Sus scrofa: one gene and its partner. The protein of the gene in region 1 binds, or shares a complex with, the protein of each later gene. Links are inferred from orthologs where the notes say so. Each region holds a gene or a part of one and is shown in the gene's direction. Other genes may lie near its edges. The genes, in order: ARID1B and SMARCA2.

What was found.
Region 2: ARID1B (region 1) and SMARCA2 share a complex: the UniProt entries of both Homo sapiens proteins name them as parts of the neuron-specific chromatin remodeling complex. The link is inferred for Sus scrofa from reciprocal best matches to the Homo sapiens genes ARID1B and SMARCA2.

Annotation. Positions count from the first base shown.
Region 1 is NC_010443.5:9,790,966-9,794,414, reverse strand, and holds the end of ARID1B (AT-rich interactive domain-containing protein 1B), read left to right. Parts: coding exon 1-1,369; 3' UTR 1,370-2,788; downstream 2,789-3,449. UniProt on the Homo sapiens protein: Involved in transcriptional activation and repression of select genes by chromatin remodeling (alteration of DNA-nucleosome topology).
Region 2 is NC_010443.5:219,745,894-219,749,715, reverse strand, and holds part of SMARCA2 (probable global transcription activator SNF2L2), read left to right. Parts: intron 1-1,327; coding exon 1,328-1,491; intron 1,492-3,363; coding exon 3,364-3,430; intron 3,431-3,822. UniProt on the Homo sapiens protein: ATPase involved in transcriptional activation and repression of select genes by chromatin remodeling (alteration of DNA-nucleosome topology).

The DNA of each region.
Region 1 (3,449 bases):
GAACAACCTGTTTGTGGTCGACCGGTCTGACAAGCTGGGTCGTGTCCAGGAGTTCAGCAGCGGGCTTCTGCACTGGCAGCTCGGAGGCGGGGACACCACCGAGCACATCCAGACTCACTTTGAGAGCAAGATGGAAATTCCTCCTCGCAGGCGTCCGCCTCCCCCGTTAAGCTCCACAGGCAGGAAGAAAGACCAGGAAGGCAAAGCGGATTCTGAAGAGCAGCAGGAGAAAAGCATCATCGCGACCATTGATGACGTCCTGTCTGCCCGGCCAGGGGCTCTGCCCGAAGACGCGAACCCTGGTACCCAAGCCGAAAGCAGTAAGTTCCCCTTCGGAATCCATCAAGCCAAAAGTCACCGCAACATCAAGCTGCTGGAGGACGAGCCGAGGAGCCGGGACGAGGCCCCGCTCTGCACCATCGCGCACTGGCAGGACTCGCTGGCTAAGCGCTGCATCTGCGTGTCGAATATCGTCCGGAGCTTGTCCTTTGTGCCTGGGAATGACGCCGAAATGTCCAAACATCCAGGCCTGGTGCTGATCCTGGGGAAGCTGATTCTTCTTCACCACGAGCATCCCGAGAGAAAACGAGCGCCGCAGACCTACGAGAAGGAGGAAGACGAGGACAAAGGGGTGGCCTGCAGCAAAGATGAGTGGTGGTGGGACTGCCTCGAGGTCTTGAGGGATAACACGTTGGTCACTTTGGCCAACATTTCTGGGCAGCTAGACTTGTCTGCGTACACGGAAAGCATCTGCTTGCCAATTTTGGATGGCTTGCTGCACTGGATGGTGTGCCCGTCTGCGGAGGCACAGGACCCCTTTCCCACCGTGGGCCCCAACTCTGTCCTGTCGCCTCAGAGACTTGTGCTGGAGACGCTGTGTAAACTCAGCATCCAGGACAATAATGTGGACCTGATCTTGGCCACGCCTCCATTTAGTCGTCAGGAGAAATTCTATGCCACGTTAGTTAGGTACGTTGGGGATCGCAAAAACCCAGTCTGTCGAGAAATGTCCATGGCGCTTTTGTCGAACCTTGCCCAGGGGGACGCGCTGGCTGCCAGGGCGATAGCTGTGCAAAAGGGGAGCATTGGCAACTTGATAAGCTTCCTAGAGGATGGGGTCACCATGGCCCAGTATCAGCAGAGCCAGCATAACCTCATGCACATGCAGCCCCCGCCTCTAGAGCCCCCTAGCGTGGACATGATGTGCAGGGCGGCCAAGGCTCTGCTGGCCATGGCCAGAGTGGACGAGAACCGCTCAGAATTCCTTCTGCACGAGGGTCGATTGCTGGATATCTCGATATCAGCTGTCCTGAACTCTCTGGTTGCGTCTGTCATCTGTGATGTACTGTTTCAGATTGGGCAGTTATGACACCAGTGAGAAGGCAGCATGTGTGAGTGAAGACTAGAGGCTCCCGTATAACTGGCTGTTTTCTGTTCTTGTTTATCCAGCGTAGGAAGAAGGAAAGAAAATCTCTGCTCCTCTGCCCCATTCACTATTTACCAATTGGGAATTAAAGAGATAATTAATTCGAACAGTTATGAAATTAATATTCGCTGTCTGTGTGCATAAGTACATCCTTTTGGGTTTTTTTCTTTCTTTTTTTTTTTTTTTTTAACCAAAGTTGCTGTCTAGTGCATTCAAAGGTCACTTTTTGTTTTTCACAGATTTTCTTTTTAATGTTCTTTTCCATGTTGTATTGCATTTGGGGGGAAGCGAATTGACTTTCAGGAGAAAAGTCATGGCAAAAGATGCTAAGATGGGAAAATTTCACCACTCTGAGGCAAAAAAAAAAAAAAAAAGTGAAAAATGATCAATTTCCTGGCTGTGTTCTTCTTCAGATAATGCAAACTGTATCCCATCGCCCAAAGTTCTGTGCAATAGAAACTTCTAGAGATGTAGGTATAGGGGCTCACGGAGGTGTGTCAGTCAGCAGTCAAACTATGAAATGATACTGGTTTCTCCACAGGAAAAATGGTTCCATTAGGCTAGGAGCAAAAACAATGTTTTTTAAGCTAAGATTGAAAACACATACCTGACAACGATCAAGGGAAATTGCTTCCTCACCACTATCGTCACGTCTGCTGTCTGTCGTTGACCTTCCGCGTGACAGTTCTTCACAATTCCTTTAATCATTTTTTAAATATTTTTTTTTTTTACTGCCTAATGGGCTGTGATGTATATAGAAGTTGTACATTAAACATACCCTCATTTTTTTCTTTTCTTTTTCTTTTTCTTTTTTTTTTTTTTTTTTTTTTAGTACAAAGTTTTTAGTTTCTTTTTCATGATGTGGTAACTACGAAGTGATGGTAGATTTAAATAATTTTTTATTTTTATTTTATATATTTTTTCATTAGGGCCATATCTCAAAAAAAAAAGAAAAAATACAAAAAACAAAAACAAATAAAAAAACAAAAAAAAAAAGAGGGTAATGTACAAGTTTCTGTATGTATAAAGTCGTGCTCTATTTCGGGAGAGCAGCTGATTACAATTTGCTTCATGAATCAAGGTGTGGAAATGGTTGCATATGGATTGATTTAGATAATGGTTACCCGTACAGACAAAAAGAAAAAACATACAACTAAAAGGAAGAAACACAACTTCAAAGATTTTTCAGTGACGAGATTCCACATTTGTATTTCAAGATAATGTAGTTTAAAAAAAAAAAAGAAAAAAAAAAACTTGATGTAAATTCCTCCTTTTCCTCTGGCTTAATGAATATCATTTATTCAGTATAAAATCTTTATATGTTCCACATGTTAAGAATAAATGTACATTAAATCTTGTTAAGCACTGTGATGGGTGTTCTTGAATACTGTTCTGGTTTCCTTCCAGTGGTTGCATAGTAACCAGAAATAGGGAAATACAGCCGCGTACTAACGTAGCCCCTCACTACGGAACCCTGAGACCAGGAGGGACGTTTAGGGGTTACCTGCTTTATAGAGTGGGGAGCAACAGTTTGATTTTTCTCCAAGTACTGAGCTAATTAGTCTTTGTCGGAAGCAATCAACTCTAACATCAAGGAGGTCTGAGAATTTTCAGTGTGTGCGGGAGGCGGCTGCCAGCCGTGGGGTGAGAGCCTAAGGGCTCGCCGGCCTGACCGTGTAACCTCCTGCCTTTTTCTAACCCCGTCTTACTTGCCGTCAGAGATGAGTCTGGTCCATGTTTTTCCTGTGTGCCTCAAAGTTCTTTCGCTTTTAGTTTCCTCCACCGTGTATGATATTTATATTGTGCAATGTTAAAGAGACTCTGTTATATTGTATGTGGTGTACATAGTGCAAAGTGATTATTTCTATTTCAGGGCATATTAATATTCTCATATCCCTTCCTACCTGGTGCACAGTAGCTTTTTAATACCAGTCACGTCTCATTTCAACTTTTTTCTTCCTGGGTCATTGACTGTTAATGTATAACAATCAGTTTCTTTGAAACTGCTGCAGAGTTGAGCTGT
Region 2 (3,822 bases), about 210 Mb from region 1:
GAGGTATACATCTAACATACCGAGGTATCTATCTGCTGGAGCTCATTGCGTGGTCCTCTGCGCAGAATAGCCATTTAGTAGATATTGAAAATAAAAGAATCACTTGCTTTGTTTTTACATAAAGCAAATTAAAATGAAAACATTTTGCTAACCATAGCTTCATTAGCAAGCTAAATTGACTTCGGCAAATATATATATATGTATATATAGAGGGAGAGAGAGCACTCGAGAGTGTAATAATAATAGATTGATCCTGTTATTTAAGCTGGCATCTGTGATGTGGTCGTACAAGGGAACTGGTGGTTGGAATAGGAAAGTTGAACATTTTTGTACTTTCACTCAACCTTCCTTGTGCTTAACATAGGAAATCCAACACTGTGACCCTGGTGCTGTGCTTTTGTACTTAAAAAAATGTTAAACACATTTCCAGGCAGTCAGCTGCCCTTGGGATGCACCTGTATTGCAGAGTTTCCCTACCATGCCTGGGAGCTTTCTTTTCCCAGAAGTGCCAATCTGTGGCCCCAGCAGGTGCCGTTGGCTCCCTGGTCACTCTCTTTCCTCACTTGAGAGGATCCCACCCTGGGCGGGGCTGTTTATGACCAAGAAGGCTATTTATTTATTTACTTATTTATTTATTTTGTCTTTTTGCCTTTTCTGGGGCCGCTTCCGTGGCATATGGAAGTTCCCAGGCTAGGGGTCTAATTAGAGCTATAGCTGCTGGCCTATGCCACAGCCATGGCAATGCAGGATCCAAGCCGAGTCTGCAACCTACACCACAGCTCACAGCAACCCTGGATCCTTAACCCACTGAGTGAGGTCAGGGATTGAACCCAAAACCTCATGGCTCCTAGTCGGATTCTTTAACCACTGAGCCACAACGGGAACTCCCCAAGAAGGCTATTTCTAATGAGTTGTGATCTCTGTGCCAAACCTGCCTTCTGGTTTGTTTTGTTTTAATCCTCACATTGGCTTTTTGTTCTTAGAGTGGTCGGAATGGATTTTCGTTTGGGTTTTCTTCATCTATAATAATCCTAGAATGTCCTATACTGTGAAATGCTAAGTAGGGATGAACGGCAAATCGGATTCAAATCCCGCTAGTAGGCTCCAGCCCATCATTTCTAAATCTGATTAGCACTCCGCACCTGCCAAGCACCAGAGACTCATATTTGAACTTCTTCTTGTGCTAGTGCTTCCCCCACATTCCTACGGTGGGAAATTCCCCCATCCAGCACCGAGGAGTTAAGAAGTCACAGCCTCACTTGAGTTGTATTAGTATTAATTACCTGTGCAGATCTTGGATAATTGAAGCAATTACTCTTCATTTCAGCTCCAGGGCCTGGAATGGATGGTTTCTCTGTATAATAACAATTTGAACGGAATCTTAGCTGATGAAATGGGGCTGGGAAAGACCATACAGACCATTGCACTCATCACTTATCTGATGGAGCACAAAAGACTCAATGGCCCCTATCTCATCATTGTTCCCCTTTCGTAAGTAAAGCCATTTATTCTGAGGTTATCTTTCTTTATGTTGTAGCTAGCTTGCCCTATATTTGTCGTTTATCTGTGTTTTATACTTAAGGCAAGAATTGTAGCCTATAGTGGGTTTGCCAAGAGTGTGTAACCTGGATTTAAATTTTCATTGCCCACCCCACCCCCTAAACCTGCCTCTTTGACTGGCTACTTAAGCGCAGGATGAAGTGATTTTTTTTTTTTTTTTTTTTTTTTTGTCTTTTCTAGGGCCACACCTGCAGCATATGGAGGTTCCTAGGCTAGGGGTCTAATCGGAGCTGTAGTTGCAGGCCTACACCAGAACCACAGCAACACCAGATCTGAGCTGCGTCTGCGATCTACACCACAGCTCACGGCAACATTGGATCCTTAACCCACTGAGTGAGGCCAGGATCAGACCGGCAACCTCATGGTTCCTAGTTGGATTCGTTAACCACTGAGCCATGATGGGAACTCCTGATGAAGTGATTCTTATCAGCCCTCAGCCTAGAGGTCTTCATAGCCAGCACACTGCACAGTGAGTCTCATTCCTCTTCGTGCCCAAAGTGGCTGATGAAGCCAGAAGATTTTGATTTTTTTAAAAATAAGATTTCTCTGATTTTTCTTTTTATTCCATTTCCAAAAGGTTACATATATTCAAAAATTATATATTCTTAAATCTCCCTTTAGTGTCTCTTTTAAAGCATATAAAGCAAAATTATAACTGTGAATTTTGTGTTAAACTGCCCTCAGGACGTGCAGTTTACCTTCAGTAATTTTGCTGCTTTATAAAGATGGGTCTTTGTTGTTCTCCACTAAATTCCTGGGGCCTCACTCAGTGAGTGGTTCCTCCTGGGTCTTTAGCAGATACACCTGAGGAAAGGAACACCTGTTTAAATGCCCTCCTTGGAGCGTCTGGCTGTGGGTGTGAGGTTGCAATTCTCTTCACTGAGATCTTTTAGATCTCAGTGCTCTTTACAGACTTGAGAAAAAAAATGAAAATTCTGTTGCAGTATTTCCTTCCAGTTTTGTCTAAAGAGTTACTTGCAGACCTCTTTAATCCATATTATTTGAATCCATGGTATGTAGACATCTTTTCCATATTATCTACATTTTGAAAATATATTTTGCTTTGTATCTGTATTTTGCAAGTTCTGACTTACCTATTATGTTGATGCTTTTAGGGATTTTTTTTCTTTTTAACGCAATCAATATTTTTTCCCTTGCTCTCTCTTGGCAGATTTATTTAGTTTTTTTTTTTTTTTTTTTTTTTTGTAATTTTGTAATTTCTTTTCTTCGCTTTTTTTTTTTTTGATTTTTAGGGCCGAGGGGTCAAATTGGCATTACAGCTGCTGGCCTACACCACAGCCACAGCAACCCAGGATCTGAGCTGCTTCTGTGATCTAAGCCACAGCTCACAGAAATGCCAGATCCTTAACCCACTGAGCGAGGCCCAGGGACTGAACTCACATCCTCAACAGAACGTAACCCACTGAGCCACAACAGAAACTCCCATAATTTCTTTTCCTTAACTCAACTTTTCTCTGAACTTTACATGGCAGTTTCTAGAGTCCCCATATCACTCTGGCAATTGCTGTTTTTCAATATAACAATTAAGATTTTTTTTATCCTCTATGTTCATGCATTCTTTAATTTTTTTTTCATGTGAACCCACAGATAAATCTCTCATGCTCTGTGGCAGCTTATTTCTAACTTGTACCTCATTTTCACACCTTTAAAATAAATACGTAGTTGAGATTTTTTTATATTCTCTAACTCCTTCTAAGGGGAGGTCTAAAAGTAAGAACATCTTTTTAACCAATAATTTTTATACAAATGTCTCTCTATTTTTTGGTTTGTTTTGTTCTATAGGACTCTCTCTAACTGGACATATGAATTCGACAAATGGGCTCCTTCTGTGGTGAAAATTTCTTACAAGGTTTGGAATACTGTATTTATACATAAATGTGGAAAAGCAGAAAATAGACTCTATTTTCTTCATTCCATATGCACATCTGTGAACTGTATTTGGTTGTAAAGTTTTGTCATGTACATCATGTACTAAACAGTGAGAGTTAATCATCCCAAGAAGATTACTGTAATAAACCATAATTACTTTCAGATAGTGAAATGCAGAAGAAAATTGTTAATTATCATATTGCGAGGTTTCTGATGAGAGTAATACAAATGACAAATATCACACATCCCGCGTGCTGCCACTGGGCCCACTGTTCCTGCAAAGTTGGGCAATTACCCAGGCGCCTGGGTGCTGCTAGATGCTCCTGTAGAGAGGGAGCCTTTCAGCAGAGCAGCAGGTTCCCTGCTACCTTG